Lepisosteus oculatus: one gene and its partners. The protein of the gene in region 3 interacts with the protein of the main gene of each other region in a pairwise test. Links are inferred from orthologs where the notes say so. Each region holds a gene or a part of one and is shown on either strand. Other genes may lie near its edges.

What was found.
Region 1: the proteins of prpf31 (region 3) and jakmip2 interact in binary tests that used the Homo sapiens proteins (3 or more experiments, as listed by UniProt). The two-hybrid records come from large-scale screens. The link is inferred for Lepisosteus oculatus from reciprocal best matches to the Homo sapiens genes PRPF31 and JAKMIP2.
Region 2: the proteins of prpf31 (region 3) and ssx2ipa interact in binary tests that used the Homo sapiens proteins (3 or more experiments, as listed by UniProt). The two-hybrid records come from large-scale screens. The link is inferred for Lepisosteus oculatus from reciprocal best matches to the Homo sapiens genes PRPF31 and SSX2IP.

Annotation. Positions count from the first base shown.
Region 1 is NC_090706.1:26,813,157-26,816,909, forward strand, and holds the start of jakmip2 (janus kinase and microtubule-interacting protein 2), read right to left. Parts: upstream 2,192-3,753; 5' UTR 2,058-2,191; intron 1-2,057.
Region 2 is NC_090704.1:174,343-178,095, forward strand, and holds the start of ssx2ipa (synovial sarcoma, X breakpoint 2 interacting protein a), read right to left. Parts: upstream 2,369-3,753; 5' UTR 2,171-2,368; intron 1-2,170. UniProt on the Homo sapiens protein: Belongs to an adhesion system, which plays a role in the organization of homotypic, interneuronal and heterotypic cell-cell adherens junctions (AJs).
Region 3 is NC_090718.1:264,946-268,698, forward strand, and holds the start of prpf31 (U4/U6 small nuclear ribonucleoprotein Prp31), read right to left. Parts: upstream 2,701-3,753; 5' UTR 2,559-2,700; intron 2,422-2,558; coding exon 2,197-2,421; intron 2,026-2,196; coding exon 1,965-2,025; intron 1,883-1,964; coding exon 1,799-1,882; intron 1,658-1,798; coding exon 1,560-1,657; intron 1-1,559. UniProt on the Homo sapiens protein: Involved in pre-mRNA splicing as component of the spliceosome. Required for the assembly of the U4/U5/U6 tri-snRNP complex, one of the building blocks of the spliceosome.

The DNA of each region.
Region 1 (3,753 bases), on a different chromosome or scaffold from region 3:
TATTTCTTAAAACAAGCCAGGAATACTGGCTTTGACAGCATGGCTGGGTAGATTTTTCCACACTCCTAAAACCCTTTGGGTATAAAAGTTCTGTTTGCAGTTTTATGTATACTTCCATGTGATTTCCAGTTGTGTTGTCACTTCAGTTACAAGTAGATTAAGAGCCAGGGATTGTTCTTATCGGGGAAGGTGAGGGCATTTTGTCTTGTGCTCCTAAAACCTTCAGCTGAAATAGTGTACTCATGAGGGTTCCTAACACTGTGGCCAGAGTGAAGCATGTCACTTAAGGTTCTCCTTCATATCCAAATGGAGTAGCAAAAGAAATGAGTTTCACTCTCTCAGCTTGGCTCTCCACTATAGCTGCTGAGGGATGGGTGAACCTAATCTTGGGAGGCCAGTAAGTTTTAAAGTCTGCATTTCAGATCATAACCTACTGTATATCAGCTCATTGTTGGCTTAATGGGAACAGTTTCTGTCAGCTCTTCATGTGTTGGTGTTGTGAAGAGACCTATAAAGCTTGCAGACACACTGGCCCTCAAGCACCAGGCATGCCCAAGCCTGGTCATCTAACACACAGCGTGGATTCTAAAAAGGAACAAACAGCTGTGTGAAGCTGGACTGGTTTCTCAAAGGTAAGGAATATAGGGCAATATTAACATGAATATAAAAGAAACTGAAGCACATACAATAAAGTAAATGACAGCAAATGTGACAGCAGGATATCAAGATGGTCTCACAGAGCCAGTGTGGCTGACCACAGATGAACTGACACCTGAAACTCACATTTTTTTTTATTATTGGTTAAAGACAAACTTCCATCTTTATATTTCTAACACTGGCATCCATATGATGTGTATTTGCATGGTATACTGCTGTTGAATGTAAAATTAACAAATAGCAAAGTTAAAGTTATTACTTAGCTAAGAAAGAAGCAACTGCTTTTGGAGAATTCAACACAAAGTGTGTCAGGGAAAAAGATCATGAATCTGCACCAAAGTAAATAAAAATGGGGCGACTTTAATGGCCTGTTCTAAAATTACACTAGAAATACCATAACACTAAACACTTCATAGTTTCTACCATGTCTTATATTACAATACCATTTGCTTGAATGTCCTCTATTTCCATTTGCTTTCATACTGTATATCAAATTTTAGAATGATCCTAACAATAGTATCTAACAAATAGATCGCAAAAGTCAGAATCGACATAAATCTGGACTGGAGAAGAAAGTAAAGCATCCAAACAAACTGCACACAGCCATTGTAGAATAGGTGACATTTACTGAAACTTTATATCTCCAGTCTACTGAATTGTTACCGACAATGTGCCTAAATAAATGAGCCTTATCACAATTCTTAGTGAAATATATATGGTTGCATAAATTGGCACAAGAGAAGCCCCACTGTAATTAGGAGGATGGAAGAATTGACTCCATATATTCGCTTCATCAACCCCTATTACAGTACCTTTGCACAACTGGGAGGAAAGCCTCAAACATAAACAATGAAATACCGGTACTCGACAATTCAAATTAAATTAGGTAGCTGCCTACCCTAAGAGCATGTGGAACTCACTATTTAATAATAAATACTGTTCCCACTTTTAAATGGCCTGTGTAGTACTATTTCACTTTAAAACCAGCATCAGAAATGACTACCAAAGATGCACTTGTCGTTACCCAAAGGCTGATCTCAGCCTACTGCACAGGCCAAGCCTAGCCACATGAACGCTTAAACCAAACACACGTCTGTGTCATGACGATCGAATACTGTATTCTTTCTTAGTGCATGAAACGAAAAACAAAGCACCAGTGCCCGGAATTAGGAAAAACAAAACAAAAGATTACCGTTACTCGCTAATACATGACAACACAAATGAATCGGGTGGGAAAAAAATCCTCTATCCTATTATGACACGACGCCGGCTGTAAATACCTCTCCATTTCCACTGTACAGAGCATCACATCCCTGTTTTAATTCTGAACTGATGTAACGCTGATTCAAACCGTCAGATGCGGGTGTAAACAAATAACTAGAAAACGATACAATTCTTACCGTTTTATTAACCTCCAGAATGAATTAAGGCCTAGAATCCTTAAAGCTCTACCCATGGCTTTGATTTTTCTCCTTTCCCCCTGCACATCATCAGCAGCAGCTGTACCACAGCGCGATGAGGACGATGATGCTGTAAAAAAAACTCCGCCCTCCTCCTGTCTGTCAGAATGAGCTCATTGAATTTGCCAAGAAAACTGCAGTCTCCTTTTTTATCCCTCTTCTTGTTTTTTTTTTATCCGTTTTACTTTCTCCACTCTTTTCACTTTCCCCTCTCGTGGAGTCCACACCACTGTCACAGACCGCACAACGGGAAACGAGCAGACGCTCACAGAAGGTACGATCGGAAATAATATTAAGCCGCACGACTTTGTAGCTCATAGTACTGTACAATACACAGTATGTAGAGGAGAATCCCTTTTACAGCTCCTGGTTAAACGTTTCAGTCACAGCACTGTCGACACTTAAGTATTTATTTCGCCGTTTTCTTTTAAATAAATGAACATATTAAGAGATTTTTTCAAACTAGCCTTATTAACATTTAAGCATTGTGAAGCAAAAAGGTAAAGCACAGTGAGGTGGACACAGAGCGCCAACGGGGGTGGTGAAGGTGGAGCAGCGCCTGGGAGTGGGAGTACCGCACATACAGTAAAACACAAGCCAGGGCACCAGTAACTGAGGAACCGGCTCCTTCTCTCCTGCGGCGCACTGTTCCTTTCTAACATCTCAACAACGAAGGTTTCCATAGTAATCCGAGTGGTTTATCGGTCTCTCTTTAGGCTGTTTTGATTTTAAGATCACCAGTATTTATCTGGTGACAGTGCCAGGTTTTGTACAAGCAAAAATCAAATCGTAAATATTGTAGCTGTTAAAATATTGTAGCGGTCAGCCAGTCAGACAGGGAGAGTCTGAGGTGGTGTCACGCCCTCTGCGGCCAGAGGGCGCTCTTACTCTATCCAATTCTAATATAATACAAAAGTTCTTAAAAAGGGTGTTTGTCCTTTATCAATCACAGCAAGTGGATGCTGGGGCTGGATTCGCACAGTGAAAGAGGCCCTCCAAACTCTACCACTTGCAGTTGTCCTTGTCCTGCTCTGAAACTGCGGTTGTCCAGTCCTCTGCAGGAGCTCAAGGAGCAGGGATTTCCTCCTAAGTCCCTGTACAGGGCCCACAGTCCCTTCCAGCGCTCTTTTTAAGGATATGCTTACTTTAAAGTTTTATGAAATCGCTTGTGTTCTAATGTTATCCATCCATTTTCTAAACGCTTCTTCCAATTCAGATTTACAGGGGAGCTAGACCCTATCCTGGCAAGCAAGGGATGCAAGGCAAGATACACCCTGGATGGGGCGCCTGTCCATTGTGGGGCACACACAGACACAAACACAGATATAGACACACTCACACCTAGGGCCAATTTTTCCCAGAAACCAATTAACATAACTGTATGTTGTTGGGCTGTGGGAGGAAACCAGAGCACCCAGAGGTTACAGTGCTGTGAAAAAGTAAGTATGCCCCATGAAAATGTGTGATTTTCAAATATTTGCATGTATGGATATTTGATCTTCATTTCAACAATACTGATAGATAAAGGTGATCTAATATAACAAATAACAATGAATATGAATATTTTCAATCATTTATTCAACAGAAAAAAAGTCAGAAATGCAATTGTCTGCTGTGGGAAAAAATAAGTACACCC
Region 2 (3,753 bases), on a different chromosome or scaffold from region 3:
TAGCATTTGCAAAAAACACTTTGCCCTGCTCCAACTGGATCCCTTACATTGCAATATGACCTAGAAAATGTCAACACAAACCTGTTTTGTCAGTACGTTAGCAAGACAGCACACAAAATGTGATATATGACTGATTTACAAGAAGAGGCAGAATTAAAATTCTTCTACATATTCTTAAATTGTTAAATGTAGCTTGAAGCTAGAAGTAAAAATAATTCAAATTTTTAATAATTCTGCAATTTTTTTTTAAATGCCATTGGCAATTTAAAATTACTTCATAAGCATTGTGCAGCTAATACATGTCTAGTTAGATCACACTTCTGCAAGTAGTGTAATATTTTTATTTGCCAAATACTACAGAGATTGAGGCACTTGCTCTAATAAAACAAAACAACTGAGAGAAGCATTGTAAAATGCAAGTTGTTTTACCATGTTACACATCGTAGATAACATTACAACTGGACATGACGCAACCATAGATTCGTGGCTCTCCCATCTACTTTAGTTTGTAATGAGAATATTATGAAAAGTAAAGAAGTCATCATAAAAATCTTAACCCTGCATCATTACTTTATAGCCTTTTTACTGCAAAGAATACATTACCACATTTATCAATTTTAATTGAAAATGATGTAAAAATGTTTTTAGTAATAAAAATCAGAACACAAATCTGAATTCTAACCAAATGATCTCCATTTGTTTCTTTCACAATGATTCAAAGATTCTTATGAAAGCAAAAGAAAGGACAAAATCACTTTTAGAGTGGACCAATATTTCCCCCAGCACACGGCAACAAAATTAACTCTATTCAAACCCTTTCAAGTAGGGAAATGTGAAAGGCACAGTTCCTTTTCGATTTTTGTCCCTCCTCTTACCAGAATTTCCAGTAACAATTTGCTGTGCCCCACTTCAGCTTTCCTACATGCACCATAACTAGAACAGTGTATTTTACGCTTAGCATGTAATTAAAATAGATTCTATCCTACTAACAATACAGCGGTAGGCAAGTGAGCTGGTGGGTGGATGTCTAGTTCATTTTATTTTCCAAAATAAAGTGTAAGATGGCACCATCTAGCATCCTACCACCTATAGCTGTAATAAAAAGCAAAACATACAGCTCGATTATTTATACAAAGTATTTACTGACAAATATATAAAAGTCATGCATCCCAAACTGTAGTTGGGCAAAAAAGTACTTCTCATGCATTATCACAAGTTGATATGAAAGGGTCAAGAACAATTCAGAAACCAGAACCAGAGTGAGCACAGTGGATAGAAACTTCATATACATAACAAAGGACATGTTCTACCGTTTCACCGGCAGCAGGCAACATGCCAATATTAAAAATGGTACCATCACAACAGGGAGTTAATAACAGACTTGCCAAGCCCCTGGTAGCTTGTGAAGCCTTCTGAAAAAAAAGTACACAAAATATGTAAATATTTTTAGAATTATCAATAGCAAGAAAAAAAGGTTTCTACCATTTAGTAAAGCGGCACTACATGATTCACATGATTAAAGTGTCTAGTCACGACACCAGTAAAAATATTCCCAAATACAGCAATACAAACCAATGGGAGTCATCAATATAGTCGCATAAAACAAAAACTGATTGAGAAATGTGCTCAAATTAAGTGAGAATCAGTGTAAACCGAGAAACAAAAAGCATGCTCGGGTATAACGTAAACAAAGAGAAATGTATAAAAAGATTAAATGTGATAGTAGTTAGACATTTCTAAAAGTTGACAATTATCATAATTTCAGTTCATGAAACCGGTTAGACCACAATTCACAAGTCAAAGCGGTCAAGACACAGGGCCGCTGGACTGCCACGGCTTGACCAGGACTGGAAAACAAAAATGCTGACCGTACGGAGCTGGTCGATTTTCTGTTGATTCAGAGGATTAGCTAAAGCCTAGCTTTTTTAACACGTTAACGTCCCAGTCATACAAATAAACTAGTTCAGAAATTTTTTATTCCAAGGAATCATAAATAAAATGCATTGAGGAAGCGAAATCAAATACGTAACACGGAAGGCAGTAAAACCTAAGCAATTGAATTATGCTCCTTAACACTTGACTACAAAATTATTATAAACACACAGCTATCTTATAGGCTCAGTTGCGTATTGGGCTGCAGAAGAGAAACGGGGTCTGAAAAGACACTCACTACATAACACCAGATGAACTCCTCTCCTAAGACACCGGCGTTCTCCAGAACACAGTAAACCTATAAATCCACTTCAGACAAGTCCCCAGCATCCAAGTAGGATATTTTAATCTCTTGATCACCAACAGCTGATACTACCAACCTCCCCCACTCTCTCAACAGGCGCAGGTTTGAAGCTTCCGACTCTCTGGCTCACCAACAAACGTTACGGTCATTGGCGAACCTGTTGCCAGGCAACCAGTACCTGCTCACAGTATTGGCTGACACCTGGGCTTTAATTACAGTCCCTGAGAAACCGGTGGGCGTGACATACAGGCATCAGCAGGTGCAAAACAGACCAGCCTTGCAAACCCATGCAGTTCGTTGTTTGATGGTTATTGGAAGTCAGCTTTTCATTTTCTCATATTTATTTCTTCATTATACGGCAATCGAAGGTTATGCATGGGTTTTGGTTGCGTTTACGCACTCTGCTCAGTTTTAGTTTACTAGGTACTAACACTAGATCCCAGAGCAAACTTTTTTTTTCTGTTTCCATGATTTACGTCAATGTACTGTATGCGTCGTCTCTAAAACCAGTTGTATTCTCGCGTCTTCCGGTACCTGAGGAGAAATCGCTTTTATTATATAACTTCAAAACATGGGCGGCTACATTTTCTGCAGCATTTTATACTACAATACCACAAAGAAATATTATCAGCATCAATAAATTACTCTTTAAACAAAACAAAAAAAATTACCTTCAAATGTTAACCCCTTAAATTTGCATTTTATACACATTTAGTTTGGCAATTCATGCTATAAAAGCTATTATTTACAACAGTTTTTTTATCATATAACAATGCTGTCGATATTTTATTGATTGCAGTACAAGAAATTTGATAATCAAAGTCTTTTTTTAGGACTCAAGGTAGGATAAAATATTACTAAGTACTGTGGCTAAGGATCTGTGCTTGTGACTGGAAGGTTGCCGGTTCAAATTTCACAGCCGGCAGAGGAATCCTACTCCGTTGGGCCCCTGAGCAAGGCCCTTAACCCCAACTGCTCCAGGGGCGCTGTACAATGGCTGACCCTGCGCTCTGACCCCCAGCTTCTCTCCCTGTCTGTGTCTCATGGAGAGCAAGCTGGGGTATGCGAAAAGACGAATTCCTAATGCAAGAAATGTATAGGGCTAATAAAGCAACATTAACATTAACATTAAGTACTATATTGTAATATTGAAAGAATCCACATTAATTTTTTAATTGTGGGAAAAATCACTGGAAACAAAATAAACTGTCATATTCACCTGAAGAAGGGTTCACAGCCAAAACATGTTTTCTCGCTTCTCTTTTCAGCAGGGAATAAACCTGTTGTTACTTTGCACAACGCATGCTGACGCAGCTGCCAACATGAACATATTCATATACTTACTAGTAGCAAAAATAATTGAACTGAATTGAATATATGAACTGATCAGAACACCCAGCTACTTGCTTTCAAACGCTTTAGTGTTATATAAGAGGCAGGTTTCTTTTCATACAATCATGGTTTAAAATTACTAAAAAGAGAAAGACAATTTATAGATGACTCTCAACAATAGCAAT
Region 3 (3,753 bases):
AAAACAACCTCCATGAACAGAAATTCTTTCCCAACTTTACAAATCTAATCCCAGAATTCCCACACCTGCCAGAAACACAAAAACTCCCAATCCTACTGGGAGGGGCAGGAGAGAACTCAGTTGAACTGGCAGCCCAGTGTGTGAGCTCCTGTCCCAGCCTGAGGAACAGACAGTGAGCCTGTCTCAATAATAATACAGTGTGTGAGCTCCTGTCCCAGCCTGAGGAACAGACAATGAGCCTGTCTCAATAATAATACAGTGTGTGAGCTCCTGTCCCAGCCTGAGGAACAGACAATGAGCCTGTCTCTCAATAATAATAATACAGTGTGTGACCTTCTTTCCAAGCCCGAGGAACAGACAGTGAGCCTGTCTCTCAATAATAATAATACAGTGTGTGACCTCCTGTCCCAGCCCGAGGAACAGACAGTGAGCCTGTCTCTCAATAATAATAATACAGTGTGTGACCTCCTGTCTCAGCCCGAGGAACAGACAGTGAGCCTGTCTCTCAATAATAATACAGTGTGTGACCTCCTGTCCCAGCCCGAGGAACAGACAGTGAGCCTGTCCCTCAATAATAATAATACAGTGTGTGACCTCCTTTTCTAAGCCCGAGGAACAGACAGTGAGCCTGTCTCTCAATAATAATACAGTGTGTGACCTCCTGTCCCAGCCCAAGGAACAGACAGTAAGCCTGTCTCTCAATAATAATAATACAGTGTGTGACCTCTTGTCCCAGCCCGAGGAATAGACAGTGAGCCTGTCTCTCAATAATAATACAGTGTGTGACCTCCTGTCCCTTGCTGAGGAAAAGACAGTGAGCCTGTCTCTCAATAATAATAATACAGTGTGTGACCTCCTGTCCCAGCCTGAGGAACAGACAGTGAGCCTGTCTCTCAATAATAATAATACAGTGTGTGACCTCCTGTCCCAGCCTGAGGAACAGACAGTGAGCCTGTCTCTCAATAATAATAATAATAATAATAATAATACAGTGTGTGACCTCCTGTCCCAGCCCAAGGAACAGACAGTAAGCCTGTCTCTCAATAATAATAATACAGTGTGTGACCTCTTGTCCCAGCCCGAGGAATAGACAGTGAGCCTGTCTCTCAATAATAATACAGTGTGTGACCTCCTGTCCCTTGCTGAGGAAAAGACAGTGAGCCTGTCTCTCAATAATAATACAGTGTGTGACCTCCTGTCCCAGCCTGAGGAACAGACAGTGAGCCTGTCTCTCAATAATAATAATACAGTGTGTGACCTCCTGTCCCAGCCTGAGGAACAGACAGTGAGCCTGTCTCTCAATAATAATAATACAGTGTGTGACCTCCTGTCCCAGCCTGAGGAACAGACAGTGAGCCTGTCTCTCAATAATAATAATAATAATAATAATAATAATAATAATAATAATAATAATACAGCGTGTGAACTCCTGTCCCAGCCTGAGGAACAGATAGTGAGCTGGTCACGCAGTTTAAGCTCAGGAATCTGAGACGTTAGCCAGGCCCAGATCAACAGCACCAGGGACTCCAGTCACAGTCAGTCAGGACTGAGGTTCCTACCCTGACAGTGCGGATGTAGTCCAGAGAGTTTGGCACAAGAGACTCCAGTTCTGGAAACCTCTTGGAGTACTTGTCTCGCACGAACTTGTGGATGATATCTGGGAGAAAGAGGAACAGCAGGACAGAGGGGGAGATGGTCAGTGTGGAAGAAAGGACCCACAGAGCGCACAGGACTGCGAACAGTGGGCACCCCTTTGTGCTGAGAGTCGTGGGAGGAAGGCTGCAGGCCGGACACTCACTGAGCTCGTTGTCGATCTCCACGGTCAGGTTGTTGGCGTCCACGATCAGCCTGTATTCCGGGTCGGCCTCCACCGGCCCAGAGACTGTGTGAGAGAGGGAGGGAGAGTCGGGTCAGAACAGACTTGCCAGCACAGCATCACGCCGGCGCCACCCACTCGCTCTTACCTTCTGAGGTCTTGCGCTGGTTACCAATGTACTGACTGATCTTCTCCATTATCTCTGCAAACTAGAAAGACAAAGAACAGAGGTATTTCACAGCACAAGTCACACCTCGTCAATCACAGCCTGAGAGACACTGAGCCCTGAACTGTCTTTCTCTCACACACAAACCGAGCCCTGAACTAACTGTCTCTCACACCGAGCAGTCTGCAGTCAGGCGGATACAGGCGGGACTCACCGACTTGCTGTGTCTCAGCTTGGCGATGGAGGTGACGCTCTCTGTGCCGCTGTAATCCACCTCCATCTCCTCCGGGATGTCAGCCAGCCCCCCCGGGCCTTCCGCCCCACCCTCCCCATCGCTGTCCGCTCCGTCGGCCCCCTCTGCCCCCGGGTACAGACCCGGCTCGTCGCCCTCGTCTCCAGCCTCCTCCAGGTCCGCCAGCAGCTCGTCCGCCAAAGACATCTGAGAGAGAGCAGAGCCCCAACAAACCCCTCATCTCATCAATCTTAAGAGACTCGGCTGAAACCGCAGAGTCCTCTACAGCAGCGCTCCGGGGACTGAAACACTCTCCGCCCCAGCGAAAGGAAGCGATCTCTTACCTCTTCCCCTTCTTTCTGCTTCTCGGGTGGTCAGATAAACAAACCAGGTCCGGAGATCTAAGCGAAAACAGTTCGAGCTTCACAGCTTCCAGCACACCGACCGCACAAACTGCGTCACCTCCCGTCGCCGGTTGATGACGTCACAGTCGCTCTCGCGTGGAGGCCTAAAAGAACGCGTTGTGCCCATGTGATTTCTCCAGGTTACGCAGCGTGAGATTAGTGACGTCTACTGCACTGGGACTGCAGCTCCTATTGTAACAGGACTGTTCTACTGCACTGGGACTGTAGCTCCTATTGTAACAGACTGTTCTACTGTACTGGGACTATAGCTCCTATTGTAACAGGACTGTTCTACTGCACTGGGACTGTAGCTCCTATTGTAACAGGACTGTTCTACTGCACTGGGACTGTAGCTCCTATTGTAACAGACTGTTCTACTGTACTGGGACTGTAGCTCCTATTGTAACAGGACTGTTGTACTGCACTGGGACTGTAGCTCCTGTTGGAACAAGACTGTTCTACTGCACTGGGACTGTAGCTCCTATTGTAACAGGACTGTTCTACTGCACTGGGACTGTAGCTCCTATTGTAACAGACTGTTCTACTGTACTGGGACTGTAGCTCCTATTGTAACAGGACTGTTCTACTGCACTGGGACTGTAGCTCCTACTGTAACAGGACTGCTCTACTGTACTGGGACTGTAGCTCCTATTGTAACAGGACTGTTGTACTGCACTGGGACTGTAGCTCCTGTTGTAACAAGACTGTTCTACTTCACTGGGACTGTAGCTCCTATTGTAACAAGATTGTTCTTCTGCACTGGGACTGTAGCTCCTGTTGTAACAAGACTGTTCTATTGCACTGGGACTGAAGCTCTTATTGTAACAGACTGTTCTACTGCACTGGGACTGTAGCTCCTATTGTAACAGGACTGTTCTACTGCACTGGGACTGTAGCTCCTACTGTAACAGGACTGCTCTACTGTACTGGGACTGTAGCTCCTATTGTAACAGGACTGTTCTACTGTACTGGGACTGAAGCTCTTATTGTAACAGACTGTTCTACTGCACTGGGACTGTAGCTCCTATTGTACAGGACACTGAGTCTAAGAACATAAATGAGAGTCTAGAGATGTTTTAATAGAAGACAGTACAATTTATTTTAATCAAACTTCATTAAATGTGTCACAGTTCCG